Oryzias latipes: one gene and its partners. The protein of the gene in region 1 interacts with the protein of each later gene in a pairwise test. Links are inferred from orthologs where the notes say so. Each region holds a gene or a part of one and is shown in the gene's direction. Other genes may lie near its edges.

Region 1 (4,547 bases):
CCCTCCTCCATGAGATCTGTGCAAGTCTTGAAGGTTTGTGTTTTCCTGGTTTCAGTGGAAACATTTTTTTATCAGTTTATGCTGATGGTGTTATTGTTTTTGTGAAACATCAGGCTGATGTGAATGTACTGCTGCACACAATACCTGCTTTTTGTAAATTGTCATCTGCCAGGGTTAACTGGCACAAGCCTGAAGCCCTTGCCGTGGGAAGGTGGCAGGACGGTCTCCGGGCTCTCCCTTCAAATGTCATGTGGAAGAATGATGGTGTAAAGTGCCTGGACGTTTTTCTGGATGGTCCTGCCATGGTCAAAAAGAACTGGGAGGATGTTTTCAACAAACTGGAGGGGAAGATGCAGCTAATCAACTTCTTTTGGGACAGTCTACACTGGGCGCCACAAGGAATGTTTTTCTACCTAGGGAGAAGGGGGGACAGGGCCTAGTGCACCTGGTCAGCAGTACTGCCACCTCCAGGATCCAGGTCCTGCAAAGGTTTTTGACTGGGCCAATGAATTTGATGTGGAGGGAACTGGCTAGCTGCATATTAAAATGTGTGAGCTGTCTGAGGGTGGATGTCACTGTTTTTAATGGACACCAAGCTTTTAAATTTACGTAGGTTGCCTCCCTTTTATCAGGGTGTTTTTAAGTCTTGGCACCTTTTTAATGTTGTGAAACAAAAAAAAAAAAAAACTCTCCCTCTCTGTTTTGGCTCTTGAAGGAGCCTTTGATCTTTGGGGCGGGGTTAGACATTTGTGATGACCTGCCCGCCCCTGGACTTCAGGGTCTGGAGTTCTGACTTTGGAACAGCTAGTGACTGCAAAAGGTCACAATGCATTGCGTTTGAACAACTTCTGAAAAGCAGATGTATTTAAATGTATGTTATAAAATAAATTTTAACGTTTTCATCTTCAGAACACAGTGGATTTATAAATGGTTGTCGCAAAATGCTCATATCAATGAGATTTTCACATTGTGAAATCGATTACATCATATACGCCGTTTAAAAAAAGAGTGAGTATGGTGTCCGAATTGCTTTTAAAATCCAGGGCTCTACTTAGTCGTGCACTATATCGTTTTTTAGTAGTCAGGGATAAGGGTGGATCTGGACACAGCCACCGATTTTTGCTTCCGGAGTGGAATTCCGTCTGCTATTTATTTTTCTGCAGCTAGGTACTGGAAAATTAACAAATCTTCCACCACCACATTAATGAACTTTTTTCACCTAGACACAGGCCAATGTATTTGTTAGGTATGAAGAGATAACAGAATTACAGGGAAAATAGAACATTAGTTATTAAAGATTATCAATATCATTTTATTATAGAGGATATTCTTAACAAGTTGGTATTTTTTTATTTTTAAAAATTTCTCTATATTTTAACATATTGACGTTTTTCTCAAATTCTGGTTGCATCTCCAAAGTAAAATGAAATTGCCAATACTTGTTTTCAACAATTTGATTATACTGTTGTACGCAATGTTTGGTAATATTATATACAATACATATTTGTGCGCATAAAAGGCACAATTCCCGTTATTGTTGCTAAGACTTTTCTAAATATTTTTATATAATAATAATAACAACAACATCAACAATAATGATAATCCTGAAGTAAAAATAAAAAGATGGATTCCAAAACTTTGAAGATTTACATTTGTAAAAACGGTTTATCAATAAAGATTTTGGCGGAAAAAGTGCAACTGTCGCGTAATTACGTCATCTTTAAGCTACACAAGTGTGGCTGACAGCAAGAAGCCACACGTTTACAGGAGACTTTATTGTTGCTGGGATAAACGTCCTATCTACATTTGATCCCAGAAGATGTCTTCACTCCTCAAAGTGGACAGTGAAATTAAAACCAAGGTGATGTTTGTCTGAACGGCCCCTGCGCGTGTTATTGTGGGAATTAGCCTGCTAGCATTTTGCGGCATGTTGTGGAGTCTTTGGTTAGCTTTAGCGCTAGCTAGCAATGTCTAACCGGTATGTTTCCCGCCTGCTGCAATTTATCTGTCAAAACTTATCACAGGTGCTGCGACAGACTGGTAAAATGCTTCAAATGGGTGGAATTAAACGTCTTATTGCGTGCTTGTTATGTTTAATTGATAGTTTGAGACAGAAGACCACATGTCAGGAAGGCCTTAGCCTCCACTGTGGCTAAGCTACAACCGACCCACCGGCGTCATCATGCTACAACTTTATATCGACTCCTTGTTGCCCTGATCAGTATTTAAACTAACTTTAAAGAGCGTGTCGTTTATCAAATTTAAGCAAATGAAAAAAATGCGAACTACGGAGAGACTTATTCATTTAGAGACTCTAATAATATAATAGTTCCCTAAAGAAATAACTACAATAAGTTTAGGTTTAAAAAAAAGGTTTAGTCTGTGTTGGTGCACATGAATATAAACCTTTTATAAGTAATATTTATGGTTTATTTCTGTAGCTTTTATATGTACGTTTCTATCTATGATAGCAAGATTAAAGAAACATGTGCTTTTTAGATTATGTTAAATCTGTTTTATTTTACTGAAATATTGATTCTTTTTTCTTCTTAAAACTGCTTTGATCATATAAAAGTATGTAGTTAATCAAAAGTTGATCTTACTTGCATTCTTTAATCTTAAAAATAATAATAGTAAAATAATCTATCGTTATTTTACTGTAAATTTTATCCATAACATAATTAAACTTTGAAGAATGAAAATCGATTATGGCTGTGTTTTATTTTTTCAACTAACCTTATAGTAGAAAATAAATTCTCACTGAGAAACACATGTTCGTGGGATGTACTGATGCTGAACTTTTGTCTAAATATTTATTATTTTACAGGTTGATGCATTCAGGGAACGGATCACAGCAGAAGTGAGATTTGCATTTGGAATACTTTTTTTTCTATTTTTTTTTTATTTAAACCCCCTTTTTTAAAGAACAGTATTAGTATTAAAGTTTTTTTCTATTTGCTTCTCTCTTAGGCAGAGGATCTAGTTGCAAATTTCTTTCCAAAGAAATTACTGGAACTTGATTCTTTTCTTAAGGTATGTTTTATCCTTTGTAATCTTAGTTGTTCAGTATGAAACTTTCTTTAACTACAGTTTTGACTCTAACTACTGTTGGCACAGTAAAAAAAAAAAAAAGTGTAATCTGATTACAAAAAAAGAACAAATTTGGTTCCCCCCCCCAGGATCCAAGCATAAACATTGTTGAGCTGAAAGACATACACTCAGAGATTAACCTGACAGTACCCGACCCCATCCTAATCCCAAACCTTCACGACGGACTGGAGGCAGTGAGTTGTGGATTTTTACAGCACTTCCTTTTAACTAATTTGTGTAGAAAAACTTCTAATTTTGGGGAATCTTTTCCACAGCAAAACGCCAAAAAGAGGAAGCTTGAGGATGGGAGTGGAGAGGACAAAAGTAAGGACTGTTTTCATTTTCAAACTCATGTCAGAGTGGACTGTGTGCCTGGTAACTAACTTAACTTTCTTTTATTTCCAAGTGACCGGAACCAAAGTCTTTGTCATGCCTGGTGGAATGATGAAGAGCAATGGGAATCTTGTTGATCTCATAGAAAAGGTCAAGCCGGAGATCAGGACGCTCATAGAGAAATGTAACACAGTAAGTTGCCTTTGCATGTATTAATGTCTTAACGCTTAAATGTCTACAGGCACCTCTGCATTGGCCCTGATCTGAAGTCTTATGATAAAAAACTGGGTGAAAAAATGTTGGCAACCCACATTTTTTGTTTTTGTCTTTTCCTCTAAATTCAATCTTCAGGTCAAAATGTGGGTTCAGCTGCTCATCCCAAGGATAGAGGATGGCAACAACTTTGGAGTCTCAATTCAGGAGGAGACAGTAGCCGAACTCCGAACAGTTGAAGGAGAGGCAGCCTCTTACCTCGACCAAATATCGAGGTAAATCAAACACTTTAGAGAGCAAAATACGAACTTTGTAGCATCAGTGCTTAGTTGTTTTGGTTTTTTTGGTCATGTTTTGATTGAATATGTTCTTTTATTCTCATTTTCTAGGTACTACATAACGAGAGCAAAGCTGGTTTCAAAAATAGCAAAATATCCGCATGTGGTAAGTAAATGTCCTTCAGTAGGGATGTGGATGAAAATGGTTTGGTATTTTGTTCCTGTTGCTGTAAAAAAATGGATGCTTTTAGAAGCATTTCAAAATAGTCATTGGAAAGCTAGGGATTAATAATTAATTTCTGTAACTAGCTGTTTAAAAAAAATATTGATTTGGAAAAACACCCTTCACTAAAAACTGAACATGTTCCTGTAATTTTTTTGAGCAATTTGTTACAAGCTACTTATTAAGAATGTATCAGGAGTTTTGCACTGAAGCTCAGAGGAAGATAGGGTTATTGATAAAAAAACAAACAGATTTGCACCGCACAGATCAGTAGTTTCTAAATAACAGAAATGCATAATTGAGAAAAGTAGTGATGGAGTGAGGAAGTTCTGGTGCTCCTTTTTAACTAAATAGAAAAAAATTAAAATGCTTTTAAAAGTTACAATGAGGATATCTGGTGGCCAAACCTA
Region 2 (4,287 bases), on another chromosome or scaffold:
AATTAACATCTTTAGTGACAATTTGTGTGATATTTACAAAATAAAGAAAATACTTTGGTACTCAGTTTTACATAAGTTCAAATAAAAAAACTTTCTAAAATGAAGCAATATAAAGGAGGAAAAAAGGGAAGAAAATATAGGACAAGGCTTATAAAGACATTATAATAAGAACAAAGTTGTTGTGGGAAATGCCTCACTTTTACAAACTCAACAGCTCGTGGGGAGAAGTCACAGGCGTAAACAAATATGTTGAGGTCGTCCTCCAGCAAAGGAAAGAGGCAGTTTCCCACGCCGCAGCCAGCTTCCAACAAAACCAACTTCTGGGACTCAAACTGTGAAGCAAAGCACAAGAATAACTGGACATTAGTTTAATAAGCTTGTTTGGCCATCTGACCTACAATATTTTTCAGCATCTTAAACTTTAAAGAAGCATAAATAGAGTATAGTTTAATATTTTAATATTACATTTAAGTAATTAATGTGAATATATTATTCATATTAATATATTTTAATTTATTAATTAATATATGATTTAGGGTTTTAAAAAATGGCGTAATTACTAGATAATTTAACATTTATAAATAATCTGAAGAAGAAGAAAGAAATCCCTATTTGATAGATAGAATGTTCTACATGTTAAATAGAAGATTATTTATTTTGTGAGTATAAAACAAGAAATAGAAACAGATGAAGACTGGTAAGTCCATGTATAAAAGTAATCTTACCTCACGACACTCTTTGAGTTCTTCAAATTCCCTGGTTGTCCAGTGTCTGTCTTTGAAGAAATTTGTGGCGTTTCTTTTGTAAAACAAGTCCCAGTTTTTTCGAGCTTCTTTCTCCAGTTTTATTTGTTTGAACTCAGATACAAGAACTCGCTCAGTTTTGAATCTACCCTGCTCCTCCTGGGTTAAATCTCTGGAGGAAGATGTTTTCGTTTGTCCGGACAGGCATGTTGGTGTGTCGTCCGTAGACTCGGTATCTTCGGCTCGGTTCATCATATTTCCACGCTGCTTTAAAGTTTTTGGAGATTTTTTTCCGTCTTTCTTTGTACAAAGTCATTAATTTACGACATTTTCAGTTGTTATTCCTGAACATTTATGCAGTTTATTACGTTTTCAATAAAACAATATAAAATAAAAGGTTGAATAAGCTAAATCTACAATAAAAAACCCTACTTCAATTTCAAACAATTCTTTTCATTTCCTCTGTTGTGTACGTTCACGAAATCCTTCCGATGAGTGCACGTAATTGCATTCCGCGTTGCCATCTGGCTTTTTATATAAATTGTTTATGAAACTAAAATGTACTAAAATAATTCTGTTTGATAAAAAACTAATCTAAATGCAAATTATCATTTAATAAGACAACCAAGTTTTATCACAGTTTTTGCCGCCGTCTGATCTTAGAGGTAGTTCATAGTCGAACCAAAATCAAAAGAGAGCACAGTGACGTCAGGGATGTTTTGCTAACTGTTAGCTTCTGCAGCTAGTTTTATCTTCCAGTTGGATTATCCTGTTTCTTCCCAGTTGCGACTGTTAGCTCACTTCTTATTACCAATATACGTAAATGTTAGACTTTTAGACAAACTGAACCATGAACGGTAGTACAAACCCGCTGCTGGACAAAGAGGAGCATGTTTTGAAGCTCGGAGAAAGCTTTGAGAAGAGGCCAAAATCTTCCTTTCACACCATCCGATGTGAGCGTGAGACCGCGTTGTGTTTACAAGACCTTTAAGTTCTTAACAAACTCTGGAGTGCGGCTGGTTATCTGCTGTAAATGTAGAGGCTCTCTCTCCAAGACTCTCTTCAATACTTTTCAGTCATTTGAAGATAAAAGCAGTTTGTTTTTTTGGTTGAGCTTTTACACTTTATGCTATTAACTACCCAATACTTATTTTACTACACCAAAGTTTATCTAATTTTTTGTGAGAAACAAGTTTTTTATATTTGCCTCCAACCAGGACTCATTTTTTAGCCTCCAGCTCCACATGGAGTGGCAATTGAAATTCTCCTTCAAAATAAAATGCAGATCCTATCTGTTGTAATAAACACAATCTGGATTGTTGGGGCATAAATGCTGAATAAAACAACTGGATGCAGGGACAACGGTTTATAGTCTTCATCGTGTTTCTTGTTCAGTGTGGTATTTAGAGATATCCAGTTTTTCTCAGAGGATTCGTGTTGCTTTATTGAAGTAGATGTTTGAAGTAGATGTTTCACAATATAGGATTTATTATTGATACCAAAACACTTTTATTGTGACGCCTAGGCTTGGAATTGCATTTTATTTACACTAAAAAGCTTTTCTGTTTACTTTTATTAAAAAAATTCATACTGTTATTCACTCAGGTTCAATCATATTGTTTCCATGACCAGTTATGTGAAGACAGTTTGAAAAATGTAAACAAAAATTAAAATAGAAATGCAAAAAAAAGAAACGATTCAATTGCTTTGAGTCAAAGCCTGTGTTGTATTTTGAACTTGTGTGTCAAAATAGACTTTGGCTGGACTTGGGAGAGAAACCATCCGTGTTACAGAGCTGTTGTAGTAAAAGGGTTTTATGATGCATGTGATGTCCTATTTTAAACACTGACCTCCCCGCGTCACAGTATTCCATTTACTCATTAGTTCACTTTTAGATCTCAGTAAAAGTCACCTTGGGGCATTCTCCGGAGAAAGTGGTCATGTTAAATTCAAACTTTGAATGCAATTGATTTATAGTGTTATAAAACATATTCAATTTGTTTTGTACAGAACAAAAAATTATCTGTATTAAATTAGCATTTTATCTCATTTATTATAGTTGATAGAATTACAAATGCAGCCAGGGAAAACAACCCACATTATTTTTTTCATCTTATGCTAGTATGAAATTACTGTAATTGCTTTTTTGTATTTTGGTTGTTTTTCCCTTCCAGGTAGTTATTCTCCAACTGTAATTATAATTCCATATATGTGTGAATGCCAGTTCACGGTGTTTCCCTCTAAATAAAAAAATAGGCAATCAGGGAGAACACAAATTTGACTCGATACATTTCATTTCCAGATGACTTCAAACCAGCATCGATTGACACCAGCTGTGAAGGGAAGCTACAGGTCGGAAAAGGAGATGAAGTTACAATAACGTTACCTCATATTCCAGTAAGGCTTTCCTCTTTTTAACAATCTGGTCAGAGATGCATGCACATCATGATCTGCCTGATCTCTGCTGACTCATGTTTTCTGTCACAAAAAGGTCTGACAGCTGTTTTGATCAGTCACAGTGCAGTCAAAAAATCTAAGCAATCATGTGTCTAAAAAAATTATGTTCTGAATGTATCCTAGAATTGTGACTGAAAAAGTCTGTTTATCTTCACTATAACACTGCTCTTGAACAAGATGATGTAGTTTTTTTGATTTTGATGTAACCTTCTAAAAGGGCCCTTTTCCAAGCTTTAAATACATAAAACTGCAACTACCTGTTCTTTGTCTTTCAGGGCTCCACACCTCCAATGACAGTATTTAAAGGAAACAAGCGACCGTATCAAAAGGATTGCGTGCTCATCATTAATCATGACACGGGCGAATTTGTACTGGAGAAGCTCAGCAGCAGCATCCAGGTTAAGAAAACAAGGTGGGATGTCAGTGTCCTGGTTTCCAGAGTCCTGCTGACTTTGGGTAGTAGATGTGTATTGTCTATAAGATCTTTAAATTGCTCAAGATGAGGAAAAGTTGGCTGATGTATGTATCTGTGCGAACAGAGCGGAGGGCAGCAGTAAGATCCAGGCTCGGATTGAGCAGCAGTCGGTTCGTTCCAGCCAGCCCGGCTCTCAGTTCCGAGCCCCAACCAAGCCGGGAACTGGGATCAAAACATCCCCATCCCCATCTAAGGACAACCCCTCTCCAGAGCCTCAGCTGGACGACATTAAGAGAGGTGAGGAGGTTCCTGCACTGTTGGTGTTTTACAAAGTCATGATTTCTCAGAAAAAACCCTGCTAAAGATGACAAAGAATGAAAAACATTTGGACAAATGTGAGTACAAAAAAAGACAAGACCTTGAAATATGAAATGCTGATCTTGCTGCTGTCGACAGAGCTGCGGGCAGAGGTGGAGATGATTGAACAGATGAGCAGCAGCGGCAGCAGCAGCTCCTCAGACTCAGCCAGCTCCTCGGGGAGCGGCGACGACAGCAGCAGCAGCGACGGCGAGGGCGATGCTCCCCGGCCGCTCAGCCAGAACTCCCCCAGCCGCAACCCCATGGCCAACGGAGGGATGGAGCGCCAGCAGGGCAACAACCAGCTCATGAACA
Region 3 (4,540 bases), on another chromosome or scaffold:
GAGGATCTTTTTTGGCACATTTTTATTCTGAAAGGAACTTGAATCTGGTGCTGTCAGATTAAAATAAATCAAAAACCTACTTAAAAAATATAACTCTGTTAAGGTTTAAATATTGTAAAAAATTAAAAAGCTACTACAGGCTGCATAAAAGTGTATTTTTATAAAAGGAGTAGTAAGATTTTGTGGCTCTAACTCGTTTATTTTTCAGTAAGAAACTGGACCAAATGGTTCTTTTAGAGGTTGCAGACCCCTGATTTAGCTTTTGTGTTAATAACATAATTCAAAGTATACATACACACAGTATATGCTCTCCATAAATATTTACAATGAATCCATATCAGACATCTTGTCCACACATGTCAAATGAAACTATAATTGATATTTCCAAAATAATATGAACTCAATTATTGGTGGAAAATCTGAATTTGAATTATTCTGATCCAAATCTAGGCCCATCAATCCTCCCTGTGATTATTTCCAGGATTAAATGAATAAACTCCAGGCTAGTCTTAAAAGCAAATAACTATAAAAAGAGCCAAATCAGCCAATCTTTTGAACGTCCCTTCCAAGTGAACTGATTCAAAAGATTCAGCTCCCTAAAAAGAGCCATAAATCCCAAATGTGAGGTAGAGAAAATTTTCCTTAAAAAAAGTGTGTGTGTGTGTGTGTGGGTGTGTGTGTGTGTGTGTGGGGGGGGGGTTGATTGAACAGCGGAAGAAAAAGGTGGGTTTGTGGCGAGTACTTGAAAGTCATTTAGGAAGAACGCTGTACTTCAAAGTCCTTATTTGTGATTTTGCATATGAGAAGGCTCGACATTTGGCTTTGAGTAAACAAAGTTGAGCAAGTTAAAAGGTTTGAAAAAGAAGCTTGACTTACTAATTTGCTATTCATTCACGAGTTAAGTTTTATTTAAATGATAAATCACATATGGTTTGATGGTGCTTTCATTTAGCTGACTTTTTTTTAATCTCCACTGATAATATTGTTTTTTTCATGAAGAAGTTTATTTCTTATTTAAGAATCAGTTTTGCTGTGAATATATGAAACACAAGAAATTCTATTGTATTCGGAGTTCTCACTTCATAACTGTCTCTCACCAAATTGTTTTACTAAATATATAAAAACAAACAAAAAAACAAACAAACAAAAAGATCATGAAAATTGTGTAAACCTGATAAAAGTGAATTCAGTTTGGCTGATACAGTCTTGTTATTATATCATGGGCACAATGACTCATTGTTGTGTTTTGATGACCAAATGGAAAGCAGACAGTAATGGAAAAAAATAACTGCCAGTTATTTGTGGCATAGTGGTACAATTTCATACAAGTTTTATTTAAAAATTTGGTTAATACTGAATTTAAAAAGGGGTTTGGTTATTGTATTTCATTAATAGCACGATATTTTATTATTAGGTCTATAAAACTCATTTTGATGCAAAATTATGAAAGTCCGTCTGTAAATACTGTTTTGTTCAATAAAAAATCCTGCTATGAGCTTGAGCAAAAGTTAATTGTTAAACTTTTCTTTAAATAAAAAGAATTACAGTGGATCCATGATGTAATGGACATTTTCAGATAAAATCATTTCCATTATGGTCGTATTTCCTTTGGACACACCCTGTGGTGACAAACTCCGTCTTTTGTGATTGTGACATTGAAAGTATTAAATGAGCTTTCAACGTGGGCACAATACTGTGCATTCTTGATCGGAGGTGGGCGTGGCTTCCAGGCGCAGTCTCAGTTAACTGCAGAGCTCAACGCGGAAGACAACAAGAAGCTCCGGGTTTCTAAGTGACGTCGAACAAGCAGAGGCAAGTTACTCAGGTAAGCTTTTGGAACCTGGCATTTTGTTATAGGCAGTGCGACAGATGTTGACAGTAGATAATTCGGAAATATCTCGTGTTTTAAATGCAGGATATTCGGTAAGAGGCCGAACTTTGCGTGAATTTCTTAGCCGAAGAAAAATTCCTCGAGGGGTTCGTTTTGCGACATCTAGGCCTGCTTTGTGGCAGGCGGAGAAATAATGCAGGTCCAGTGTAGATTTAATAGATGTATTAAAATGGACTTAAAATAAACAAATAACTGCGTCAAGATACTTTAAACATCAATGTTAGCTGTTTTACTTTCTTTTTGTTGTTTTGTGTGTCAGTGATGTTTAGATTTCAGTTTTTATAGACTTTTGGGCAACTTCTCAAGCTTGTTTAATGATCTCATTCTACCAATCTTGTGTTGTGGTTAAATAATTCTATTATTTGTGTTTATTTCTTCCATTGATGTAAAATATAAGATTGCAGTCTTATCATCATGGCTTTCAGAGATTTGCTCAGTTGAGCTCCCACTATTCACTTGTCCAACAGCTGTAGATTACCCTTTATTTCCCAACTGTTACGTTTAACACAAACTGGTTTTTGAAAGATAAAAATATGAAGAATTTCTTGTTGAAAATTGTTGGTTCCCTGGATTCGAACATACAGATCATGTTTCCACACTGAGGTGTGTCCGACCTGAGGTGTGTCAAAATCACATGATGCAAATGTTGACGTTTTTTGTTTGTTTTACAGATGACTATTTTATGTGAGAACCAAACTGTCAAGAAAACAAAACAAAACCCTGCTGAATATAAACTATATCTAATCCCCACACACAAATCTGTGAAGAATCAATGGATCAAAAAATTTGGAGTTTTATTGCATATATAATAAGAAAATATATAATGAGATACTTAAAATATGATTCATATTATTACATTTCTATTCTTCCTCACTTTCATGTACATCCTAAAAGGTAATTTACAAATGTGTGTCAATTATTCTGGTTTTAAAACAAAATGCTGCAATCACATGTGACGTTTTGAGGGGGGGGGGGGGGGGGGGTCCCTCCACAACAAGTAGCATTTCCCTTGGTCTCCAACTGCGGTGCCGTTGGCTCTGTTGCAAATTTTTGTCAAAAACCGAGCTAAAATGAACTTCTCAAGACTTGTTTCTATTGTTCAAAAGATGTTGTTAAATGTAATTTATAGAATATTCAACTGTTTTTAACGGTAGGTTGGACTTGATTGAACAAAAGTAACTAAACTGAAATGGGAAATTATTTACTTCTAGGTTTTAGTTTTAATTTTTATATGATTGTAATGTTGACTTACTGCCCTTTTTAATCATATTTTTATATTGATTTTCCTTTCTGCTTGTTTGTCAGGATTCTATTGTGACACCTGATGTGTGTTTGTCATTAGGCTCTACACCAAAACCATGTGGCCAAATCAAGGTGGGATATCAAAATTCTTTATAAATGTTTGTATTACCTAATGCAATGTCAGCCACAAAATGCTTTATTTTGGATCAGGTCCTCCCCATTCAGTGCCTCCACCAAACCCAGCCTTTGCCCCTGGCTACAACCCTGCATATCCTCCTGTGCCTCCAGCAGGAGTCTTTCCTCCACAACCAGTATACCCAGCTGGTCAGTACCCAGCTGGTCAGTACCCAGCTGGTCAGTACCCAGCTGGTCAGTACCCAGCTGGTCAGTACCCAGCTGGTCAGTACCCAGCTGGTGGGAATGTCGCCATGGGACCACATGGAGCTCCAGGAATGATGCCATATGGAGCACCTGGAGCTCACCCGTATCCCATGGCTCCAGGTGGAGTTCCAGGAGTCCCACATGCTGGTGTTCATCCAGGTCACTACCCACACTCTCCAAAAGGGGGGCACCACAAAGGGGGGCACCACAAAGGGCATCATCATGGAGGAGCCATGCCAATGGGTGGAGTAGTAGCGGGTGGGGTTGCAGGAATGGGAATTGGGCTGGTTGGACATAAAGCCAATAAGAAGATGAAGAAAAAGATGAAGAAGGCTCATAAACAAAAGCATGGACACAAACATGGCAAGGTGAGGTTGTGCTTGGGTGAAAGAATGCTAGTTAATGTTTGTCTTGTATGGCGCTTCATCTCTGCCATAAAGTGAAAGGGCGTAAAGACAACTGAGCGGGTGTATTCGGAAACTGAGTGAGCAAACCTTACAACCGCGCGGGCGCAATTCTAACCGAGCGACTCCGTATTTTAAAACTGCACGCCTGCAATCCTAAATGAGCGGTGATCCCTCGCGGTCAATTTTCCTTTGCGCCCCTGCTTGGATTTACACGCTCAGTGTTAAGGCCTGTTCACACCGGGACGAATTTCGCCGGCGATTTTCGCCGACGTTTAACGCCTCGTGACTAAACAAAGGGCACCAACGAGAGTGTGCACACCGACGCGAAAAAACGCCACGCGTTAAAGCGTCAAAAAAAAAAAACGCCTTGGGTTCGTTTTTTTTTTCGACGCGTCGCGTCGAAATCTACTCGACCAATGAGAATGGCGCTTTTGCTCACGTGTCTGGAGCTTCTGAAGTTACAGTAAAACACAACTTGGGGGCGCTCAAACACAAAACTGCCTTGCTGAGCACACATACCAGCGAAGAAGATAGACGCCAAGTAGCGTCTACACAGCCGCGAAGCAATAATGACGGACATTCTAAAATATCCCCGAACCAAGCACCAGTTGGAGCTACT

What was found. The genes of interacting proteins can lie anywhere in the genome.
Region 2: the proteins of psme3 (region 1) and eaf1 interact in binary tests that used the Homo sapiens proteins (3 or more experiments, as listed by UniProt). The two-hybrid records come from large-scale screens. The link is inferred for Oryzias latipes from reciprocal best matches to the Homo sapiens genes PSME3 and EAF1.
Region 3: the proteins of psme3 (region 1) and prr13 interact in binary tests that used the Homo sapiens proteins (3 or more experiments, as listed by UniProt). The two-hybrid records come from large-scale screens. The link is inferred for Oryzias latipes from reciprocal best matches to the Homo sapiens genes PSME3 and PRR13.

The regions. Positions count from the first base shown.
Region 1 is NC_019877.2:17,757,728-17,762,274, reverse strand, and holds the start of psme3 (proteasome activator complex subunit 3), read left to right. Parts: upstream 1-1,700; 5' UTR 1,701-1,819; coding exon 1,820-1,861; intron 1,862-2,827; coding exon 2,828-2,860; intron 2,861-2,970; coding exon 2,971-3,033; intron 3,034-3,179; coding exon 3,180-3,284; intron 3,285-3,365; coding exon 3,366-3,414; intron 3,415-3,496; coding exon 3,497-3,615; intron 3,616-3,774; coding exon 3,775-3,911; intron 3,912-4,025; coding exon 4,026-4,080; intron 4,081-4,547. UniProt on the Homo sapiens protein: Subunit of the 11S REG-gamma (also called PA28-gamma) proteasome regulator, a doughnut-shaped homoheptamer which associates with the proteasome. 11S REG-gamma activates the trypsin-like catalytic subunit of the proteasome but inhibits the chymotrypsin-like and postglutamyl-preferring (PGPH) subunits.
Region 2 is NC_019874.2:26,172,685-26,176,971, reverse strand, and holds the start of eaf1 (ELL-associated factor 1), read left to right. Parts: upstream 1-1,447; 5' UTR 1,448-1,593; coding exon 1,594-1,696; intron 1,697-3,045; coding exon 3,046-3,140; intron 3,141-3,475; coding exon 3,476-3,612; intron 3,613-3,739; coding exon 3,740-3,912; intron 3,913-4,071; coding exon 4,072-4,287. Other genes in the region: mettl6 (methyltransferase-like protein 6), read right to left, coding at 198-332, 726-998. UniProt on the Homo sapiens protein: Acts as a transcriptional transactivator of ELL and ELL2 elongation activities.
Region 3 is NC_019863.2:10,423,592-10,428,131, reverse strand, and holds the start of prr13 (proline-rich protein 13), read left to right. Parts: upstream 1-1,700; 5' UTR 1,701-1,825; intron 1,826-3,196; 5' UTR 3,197-3,249; coding exon 3,250-3,265; intron 3,266-3,343; coding exon 3,344-3,882; intron 3,883-4,540. UniProt on the Homo sapiens protein: Negatively regulates TSP1 expression at the level of transcription. This down-regulation was shown to reduce taxane-induced apoptosis.